Linked DNA regions of Drosophila melanogaster. The protein of the gene in region 1 interacts with the protein of each later gene in a pairwise test. Each region holds a gene or a part of one and is shown on either strand. Other genes may lie near its edges. The genes, in order: CG13131 and CG9360.

What was found.
Region 2: the proteins of CG13131 (region 1) and CG9360 interact in a two-hybrid assay, tested with the Drosophila melanogaster proteins (one large-scale study listed by BioGRID).

Annotation. Positions count from the first base shown.
Region 1 is NT_033779.5:10,012,577-10,019,187, reverse strand, and holds CG13131 (uncharacterized protein), read left to right. Parts: upstream 1-1,724; 5' UTR 1,725-1,856; coding exon 1,857-3,024; intron 3,025-3,078; coding exon 3,079-5,554; intron 5,555-5,607; coding exon 5,608-5,917; 3' UTR 5,918-5,961; downstream 5,962-6,611.
Region 2 is NC_004354.4:11,762,699-11,766,464, reverse strand, and holds CG9360 (uncharacterized protein), read left to right. Parts: upstream 1-1,874; 5' UTR 1,875-1,983; coding exon 1,984-2,559; intron 2,560-2,641; coding exon 2,642-2,821; 3' UTR 2,822-2,991; downstream 2,992-3,766. Other genes in the region: m (miniature), read right to left, coding at 1-138, 3,184-3,261.

The DNA.
Region 1 (6,611 bases):
TGGCGAAGCCAAAGCAAAAGGGGCATAATGGGTGGGTCCATGCCAGGGGATGGGGTCATGGAAAATGCCATCATGGCCAAAGAAAAATGCCGAAAATGAAATGACGCTAAAAGTATCGCAATAAAAACGCATTAAAATGCCTCACCAGGGAGTAAATAATTTCTGTTGCTCCAATCGCAGACATCGATTTGACTTTGTCGTCATGTACAGGGTAAGAAACGCTTTCCAAGATCAAGGACGAAATGTGATTATAAACCCAGAGGTATAATTAAAAAGTTTTTTATCTCAGAAATGTCAAAAAATTGTATATGCGAGGTTAAAGGTATCTTAAAATATGCTACGAGTATAGCACTATTTGAAACATCTTTTCAAGTGCTTTCAACATAAAGATGCAATAGTTTTGCAATGCATCAGTTATTGAAATGCAATAAGTTCGTATTTTTTTTTAAGTGTCCCTCGTAGTCGAATGTATTGAAATACAATCGATGCTGAACAATTAGGCGCCGATTCGGAGGGACTATAGTCTGTAGTCTGGGAATAATATTTTTATGGCCAGTGGCGCGCATAAATCCCGTCCAGCCGGCGTGTAATTCAAAATGGACAGAGGAACGTGCGACGGGAACTTGGTAATTCCCGGCAGGATATCGACTGGTTGCATAATTTATCGTCCTGCTTGATTTGAGTGCATAAAGTCGCTGCCCAACGCCTTGGCCTCAAACTCTCAAGTTTGCTCCTCAAAATCTGCTCAATGAGCCGAAGATGCAGAGCATTTTGTAAGGCGATGCGCTTTTAATGTGTTTATTGACTTGGCTTGGCCAACGGGTTGGCTCGATGATGGGCGGGAGATTAGGCCAATCCATCAAATGCTATAAAGTTAATTAAACAAGATGCTGCCGAAGGAGTCGAGAAATTGGGTCAAGCTGCATGCACCTTGCGCTTGCTAAATGCATTTTGCATATTTATTGCAGTAAAAATTGAAATAAATTCCAACTACGATTGAATGGCATAGTGAAGTGTGCTTGTCAATTATAAGTGTTAATACATATATTTGTAGATATGTTTGTGTGTGTGTGCTGTAATCCTTTTCCCCGAGCAGTAATTGCATATGAAACATGCATTTTCACTTAAAATGGCATGAAACTAATCTCCTTTTGCAGGAAGTGGGCGGGTATGCATACTATATTAAATAGTATTTTGCGAACTGTTGTTCTCGAAGGACGCTGTCTGGCTTTCAGCAAAATCTACTTTATTCGAACAACAGTGCAAAAAACTCAATAATACTCCATTGAATGCGTATATTAAAAATGCAGCAGAAACTTAATTAAATTTCCCAACTGAGTGAGTGGCTAGAAACACGTACAATCAGAGCCATTCGGCCACACAAACTTCAATTGCAAATTACAGAAGCCGCAAACAAAGACAATAGAAATTTTAATAATTCCAGAACATACAGCTTGAATGAAATTAATTAAGAATATAGTCGATTGTGAGTTCTGAAAGAATCAATCGGATTTAATGATTTAATAACAAGTTACTTTAAAGGCCGAAAAACTGCTGGTGCAAATGTATCAATTTTTTTAGCCTTTTAGCAGTTTTTTCGTCATTTTACCATCAATACTCACATAAAAAACCTAATTTTCGAAACATAAGCTCGAAATAGAGTTGACAAATATGTCTAAATATTTTAAGTACCCGTTAACAACGAACATATAGACTATATATTTAGGAATGTGTGATAAAACTAAAAGTTAAGAAAACATATTTGACGAAAATTGCCGGAATCTATGTGCCATTTCGTTGCTTGTTAAGTAAGTCGACCTGATTGGCCGTCTAAAAATCAAAATAGCTGGCTTTTGATGTTTCGCTTCTACAAGTTGTACTCGTTGTACATGAACAACATGACCAGTAGTGGAGTTGCATGGCCGCGGGAGTGGTGCCTGTGCGGAAAACTGCCGCGGGCGGTGCTCCACATCCCGGTGAACCATCGTCTGATCTGCCAGGTGTGCGGATTGGCCAGGCGCCCCCAGGCTGGACTCGATTCCTCCAGCGATAAGGATGCAGATCAGAGCACCGAGGAGCAGAAGACGATTATACCAGAGCCCAGCCACGTGGAGGAGCCCAAAAAAAGCCAAAAGACTCGGGTAAAGGTAACCATTAGGGGCAAGAAGCCGAAAGCCAAGAATTGTTGCCGGACAAATTGCCACAAGTGTGGTGGCTTGGCCAAAGCTGAAGTTGGCCAGGAAAGTACTGAAGCACCCAAAGAGATGAAGTGCAAACGGTACCCGGGGCGTCATGGCTTGCACTCGAAACCGAAGGGAATGATGAGTCGTCGACAGCTGGCGCCCAAAGCACCGCCACCTTCGACGCCGTCGTCATCTCCAACGCTATCGCCATTGCCTTCATCACCGCCATCGCCCACAGCACCACCACCACCACCACCACCTCCGCGTCAAGAATTGGAATCACCACGTTCGGAGATGCCAAGCCTGGTGGCCATGGCCCATAACGTTTTTAATCCAAAAAACAGCCCGCTACAGAACTACAACAATCTATTTGTCAGTAACTTTATACCCTTACAAAGTCCCATTACGGATACCTTCGGGGGAGCTATATCCAAGAGGAGCAGGAACAGCATTCGTCCACCACGCAGCCACAGGAGTCGCCCGCTGCCACCACTTTCCAAAGTCTTAACCAACATCTTGAGCAGCCAGAACTCGACGGATGACAGAGAGATGGGTGGTGGATTGAGTAGCTCCAATTGTAAGGACTCGCAATCGACCGATTCCGAGCTGGCTAGCCAGTTTTGTCCATTTGATCACTATGAAGGTCCATCCGAAGATGCTCTTGTCGTGAATAACGCTCGTTATATGCTTCATCGACCGAAATCACTGCACATCGAACCACGACAGGATTTGCGCAACAATCGCATTGAATCGTTGAACTTTCAGTTGAGCTCTACTAAGGACACAAAGAGTCCAATCGCTGACAATCTATCAGGCATCCTATTCATGGCGGATTCAGTTCGTAAAAATCTTAAGAAAACCATTGATAACATTGGAAACGAATGCCATATTTCAGGTAAAACCAGCCCAGCCAAGAACTTGGCCTCCAAACCGGCAGTTACTCAGCAGAACAATCGGGAAAATAAACCGGAAGCGTTGGAAGACTTCGAAAGATCTTCCATTTTAACCTCAATCATGGACAAAGTTTTCAGCTCACAGGAATCGAAAAGCTCAAATGGAAACTGCGATGATGACAAGATACCAGAATTGGAGGATATTAATAAGCCGATCAACGACATGTTCGTCGAGGACCCTGAATCGGTTTCTTTGAAAAGTAATGTATCAAATGAGCACAGTGTATTTTCTTCAAATAAAACAAACAACTATAATGATTATTCCAAGCCCGTTTCAAAAACACTAAGCATAAGCAATTCCATTTGGGAACGATTTTGTGATAACAAACCCAAATCGACATTATATAAGTGTGCTCGCTGCGGACAACAAAAGCATCGTGAAGATATAGTTGCTAAAATTAAAATAAAAGATAGTAGAATTCCAAAAAAATCCGATGCGAATCAAATATGGCTAAATAAAAAAATAGGATGCGCCATAAAGCAAAAGCTCAATAGCTTAAGATCCTTTTCTGGAGCACAGGAATGTAAAAAACACGAACACGAAGGGCAGAAATCCCTAAAACTAGCAGATCAAGGAGTAATTCCCGAGATTTTTAGAGAAACCCTACGTATGCAAAAACAAAAAGCTACGAATGACAAACCAAAAGAGGAAAATTTAAGACTGCAATCCATAAATACAAACATTCAAAGGAAAGCACAACGAATTTATCAGGATGATTCTTCGGAATCACAGACTCCAATAAAAGATCATAGCACTTCAAAATGTTTAAATCTACAAGAAAAAATAGATCATATCCCACCGAGGGATAACAATCCAGCCAAAGTAAATGATCAATCAAAGATCACTCCTTCCAAGATACACCACGAATGTCTTCAAAAACGACCCAGAATCGCACTTAAAGTTGTGAATTTAAACCAATCTCAAATATCGGATAATAACTTTCAATTACGTAGACATAAGGAGCCATCGTTCAACTGGGGAGTGATACAATTCTGCGAGACTGTATCTCATAGGAGTCTAGTTATCCCCAAAATACTGGTTCCTACTTATGTTGGTGAGTTGGTGAATATCGGTCAAGCCACGAAATGCTATATCAAGGAGAATATTCTTCCGGATGATCCGCCTTCGTCTCTCTTTGAGTTTCGCATCCCTGACATTAGTCCCAACGAGCTGCTATCCTATCGAAGTTCGGATAACATTAGCGGAAGCTGTACTCCAATACCTCATATAGCGAGTCCAAAGGAGCAACCTATAAACCACAAAGACCCGTGTCATTCTGTTGATCCATCTCCGCCAGAAAAATTCGAAAGTCGTAGCACTCTATACGAAAATCTTGAATTGTCGTTCACCACACGAAAAGCAGATAGTTTTAACCATCCCAATGACAAATTACCTGATTATGAAAATCAAAAGAGTAACAAATGCATGAAGGCAAACGAGAACAGAAAGTCCAAGTCCACAGAATTAACAGATGCTAATTTTAGCTCCTTAAGTGACAACAATATGAGCTATAAGATAGAATTAGATGGTTTAAGAAAAGAAGAGAACCCAATAAAAGAATTCAGTTTAAAGACTGACATTACGGCAGTTAGTAATACATTTACGAGATCTAAAGAAAATACAGAAAATTCAAATGATACATTTTTCCAGGAGAGCCGCATTACGTTACAAAAGTACAATCACTCAAAATTGAGCAATGCGATTAAAAAACAAATAGACAAATCCTTGCAACAGAAGATTAAAAAAATTATGACTAAACCGATAAAGTTGCTAAAATCGACTGATTCAGATTCAGTTGAAAAATTTGTGGAGCCATTTACAAACAAATTGAGCGCCTTCGATGAATATAATGCAAACTCTACACAAGAAAACTTAGAACTTGAACCAAATGTCATTTTGAATGAAGAAGAGGATATATCTCTTTCAAATTCCTTCACGGAATTAAGTTCAAGTCAAAAGCCATTACGTCTTATAGCCAACCTGCACTCCTCAAGTGACTCCGAACCAAAGTGTCTAATTGAAGAATCTAAGGTAGAAACTGATTCTGATGGAGCATCGGAACCGATGCTGACCTGTCGAACCACCGAGTATGCAGGATTGCCTCCTCTGAACTGGCAAGTAATCACAATGGGCTCAGCTCATCCAAAAAATATTATGCAGGATGATTTGGAGTCATCTCTGGTAGAAGAGTATTACTGTCCCATTCACATGTGCGGAAGCCTTATAAAGTCGAACACATTTTCTTCGCATATCCTGCAAGATCATCGAGTTTGGAAAACCAAAGATGCTCCACCGCAGGAAGATTACCATCAAGTAGTGGAAGGTTTACCAAAGCAGTTCTGCTTCGATGGCGATCTCCTCACGAAAGGAAACACTTTTGTGGCCCTTCTCTTGTACACCAGCTTAGCGAAGGAAAGGTTAGCTACTGAAAACAAAAATGATATATCTATTTACTAATTCTAACCCTTAGATCACATCCAATGCGGAATCATCCGCTGACCTTGCTAGCTGCTCCAAAAATGGCAAAGGATGATGCATTAGCCGGTGTTTTCTTCTGGCTGGTCGGTTGTCCATCGCGTGCCAAACTTCTTGCCAAGCTCACAGTCTACGATCCATTCGATCAAATTGGACGGAGTATGATCATAAGACCACGTGATTTATCTGAGAACCAAGATCCTCAAGAATTTGTAGTCAATTCGAAAGATCATTTGCTTATCAGCGTTCCACATAAGCAAAGGACTTTTCAAATAACTGTGGTCATAGATGAACCGCAAACTTAGTTATAAAGGATATCTATTTACTTAAAACTAAAATCTATAGACGTAAATTTTCATTTTTAATCCCTTTGATACCACGAGTTTAATTTTAAAGACAAATTGTATGTTGTATATTTTTTAATAAAACGTTCGAGCAAGAACTAAAAAACGCTCAAATATCTCTCACATCAGATCAGAATTGCCTAGCTTTATTTATATAATAGTTAATTGCGTGTTACACTACTAATTTCATTAAGTTGTTAGTTTGCTTTAATTACATGTAGAGTAAATATTCATGCACATAGAAACGTATGCGCTCACATCTACGTACGTACTCGCTATGATTATTATCAATTGCAATCGTTTCTTGCACCTGCCTAGTGCGTTCCACTGTATACATTTACAAACATAGGAATACAAATAGGTAAAATATAGGTAGTTTGTTTAACGGCTTAAGAACTTTTGCGAAAAAAAGATGTCCAACTGCATGGTGCATAACCAAATGTCTTTGTCTCACATAATATTCCGTTTAAAAATATTGTGTTTCATATGCAAGCCTACATCCAACAATAAAAAATATTGCAAAACCTCAAACCTAAGCTCAATTTAAAGCAGATTAGGAAATCTTCAATAAAGAATAACGACACCGATCGCATTTCTTGTGGGACAATAATTCGCTGTACTTGGAATCGTGTGTGTTTGCTGATGTACTTGATGT
Region 2 (3,766 bases), on another chromosome or scaffold:
GCCCTCGAATGGATGCGAAAAGGTGAGATGTACATCCATGTGATCCTTGCCGCACATCACCTCCAGTGAGACGATATTGGGCATTCCGTCTGGCCGTTCCATGGGCCACAGTTCATTACCAGCTATGACTAAACTAAACTGTAATTGAAAACAAAAAAAAACCAGAGAATCACAATTTAGTTAATTGCATAGAAAGAAAAAGATAACTTTTTCATGCATGTGGGGCTGGACGAAGTTTAAGTGATGAAACGCTTAAAGAACAGAAATACACGTAAAAGTCTTCCATGAATTACAAGTTGTATGGATTTCAGCTATAACTTGATATTCCCGATCCCGAAATTCATTGGCCAGCCTTGTGGGTGGGCTCCTAACGGTTCCACTGGCACCTGGCACCTGACAAACGTGTTGCCAATAAAAACGAAACGGCAATCCAGTCTCTCCAGTCTCTTCAGGCTCTTTAGGCTGGTCTTCGGTCTGCAGTCCTCAGTTCCCCCCCTTTTGGATGGCCAATGAAGGCCAATCGAAATGGGAAAGCGAATTCCACTTGGCCTGCATCCGTTTGGCTTTTTGAGGGGGATCTAACTGGAACCTGTGCTCCAATCATGCTGAGGGGCTTGTGGTTTTCGGGAGGTAGTTGCACCTGACACATTTGCATATTTGCATATTTGCATACCGATACCTGCCCCAAACTGCCTTGCCACATGCCGCATAGATCGGCTTCGATCAGCAAAATCAAATCGAGGGAAGTCTGAGCGAGTCGCTGGCTCAAGGAATTTGCATTTTCCTTGCCCCCGTCCGCAGTAAAAGTTGACTTACTGGATGAGTGGCAACTGAACAAGTGGGTATTCATATATATATATATGTTGAATATATATAACCGGCTATATACCATCCGATCTTAGCTGGTGCCACATTGTCTGGCGTCGCCACAACGGACCAAAATGGAAATGCAGGAATGGATCGTATGGATCGCAGCCAGATCTTCCAGTTGCTTGTTACTTGTTACTGTATAAATTAGTTTATGCAAATGCATTGTAATTGTTTTACATCTTGATCAAGCCAACGAATAGTTTAGCATTATTGCATTTACATTTAACGCATTTTGCTTGTCATGCTTTTCACAAGCTTATCTCAATGCTTTACATCATATTCTCATTCGAATGAAATATTGAAACAAAATCAGTGACAACAATACGTATACGTAATGGTCAATAGCAAACAGTCAACAGTTCGTATACGTAATAAAAATATCAATTTGTTTCCCAAGTTTAGCTCTTGCTTAAATTCGATTTTTGTTAGTCTGATAATACACATATATGTATGTATACTTATAAACTGCCTACTATCAATGAGTTTGCCTTCGAAAGCAAAGCAAACTGCTTACTTACAATGATTTGCAGTTTTCAAGCGAAGCAAATAAGCGTCATGTTTGAATTCTATTACATTAAACCTTAACTGAGCGCCAACAAGTAGACAATTGCGAGCGATTCCATATCATTTTAAACGAGTGTGTCACAATGTGGTGTTCCCCCTCTTTGGAAGCCCCCAGCCCAAACCAAATGTGCTGACCCATAATGAAGTCCACTCATGCTCATTCTTATCATCATCGAAAGGGGAGAGCTATCGCATAGTACATATATGTTTGGAGTATCTTTCTAGAATGAGTTGATCAACAGAGGCGCGATGGCTTTATGCTGACTCACGATTACGATACAATTGAGAAAAAAGCCGGCTGAACGGCGAGAATGTTTTGGACTCGGCCCAAAATGGAGACGAGTGGTGAATACTATTACTCTCTCAAATTTGAGCTCGGAACTGATCGGCTCTGCTGGGAACTGCGATGATCTATAAAAGCAAGTGGATCGGCAATGAAAGAGCAGTTCTAGAACAGGTCGCGATCGCAAACCAACCGTATATACATATATATATATATATACATCTCAGTTGCATTAGACCCGTACAAACAAATACTAAATACAAATTATGGATCGTTGGCTAAATCGCGTTGCTGTTGTCACTGGCGCCAGTTCGGGAATCGGAGCTGCCTGTTGCAAGGATTTGGTGTCCAAGGGCTTGGTGGTCGTGGGTCTTGCACGTCGCGAGGACCGTCTGCAGGAGCTGAAGGCTTCGCTGCCAGCGGACCAGGCCAGTCGTTTCCATGGACGCAAATGCGATGTGAGCCAGGAGCAGGAGGTGATCGATGCGTTCGCATGGATCGATGCAACACTGGGCGGTGCCGATGTGCTGGTCAACAACGCTGGCATTGTTCGCCTCGGTGTGGGCATCACCCACGAGGGTAATGGCGCTGATCTTCGTGCCATTCTGGATACCAATGTCCTGGGCGTTTCGTGGTGCACCCGCGAGGCTTTCAAATCACTGAAGAGACGCAATGTTAACGATGGACACATCCTGATTGTCAACAGTGTGGCCGGACACCGGGTGATCAACAACCCAGGCATCACCATGGGCATGTATTCGCCATCGAAGTACGCAGTCACCGCTCTCACGGAGGTGCTGCGTCAGGAGTTCCACAACAACAAGACCCAGACCAAGATTACGGTAAGTGCGCAGAGAGAGATTAGCTTAAAGTTGACATTTCGATTACCCCCTTTTCCGATAAATATCCATTGTGATTTTACAGAGCATCAGTCCCGGTGCCGTGGACACCGAGATCATCGACAAGGAGGCTCTCGTTGGCATTCCCGACTTTCCAATGCTCCGCTCTGAGGATGTGGCCGATGCCATTAGCTACTGCATCCAGACCCCGCCAAATGTCCAGATTCACGAGCTGACCATCAAGCCTGTCGGCGAAACCCTCTAGACTCTAGATTTCCCACTGGATGCTTCTGCTATTTGTGTTTACAACAAGGAAGTGTCATATGAAGTTGATCTACTATATTTTATTTTTATTAAAAATATATATATATCTATATATATATATGTATGTATGCATGTACCAAACGTTATGTGATTAAAATTCTTTAGCAAACCAAGTCCCAATTGTATCTAACTATTCTTCAATTTATTGCCTAGATCAGACCACAATTTATGTGCTGTAATAGAAACATTTGTTGATCAAACAAATTGTAATCATTTTTCCGTAGATTAGATATTTTTCTATTTTTTGTTTGCCCATGGTTCACACTAAGTATTATTGTTTACAATTTGATTTTGCTTACTTACCATTAAGTGTAAGATAAATATACAGCTACTAAACCTAAGGTCCCACAGTCGTGTAGGGCCTTTTTGTGGGCTCCACATGTTGGCGCTGTGGGCGTGGCGATCGGATCTGAAAATAGGGAAAAAAATACATAACAATCAGATAAATTTAGGCAGTGGTTGGTTTCTGAGACTACCTCAATAATATGTGTATTAGAACTAAAAGTAATCTTAACTGGTCTCCTCATCTCTGTTTTCAATGGATTGCTTGTTCATTGGGTAACAAAAAAAAAAAAGACGAAAAACCCCAAGTTTACACTCTCAACAATTTTATTTTCTGGCATTCATAGTATTTATCTTATATCACAACAATTTAAATAATGCTCAGCTAATGTGGCACGGTGTTAGAAAGTAGAAATCAGCTGCCCCAAACAAACAGATATGTATAATTGAAACGCTTTCACTGCACTGCGCTTCTGTTATTCTACGTCCGTGCCAGCCAATCAACACTGTACCACATATGTATATTTTCAATTAATTGCACACTCTTAATTGATCGCATTTACACAATTAACTGAGGGCCATGTGTTGTTGCACTATACATAGT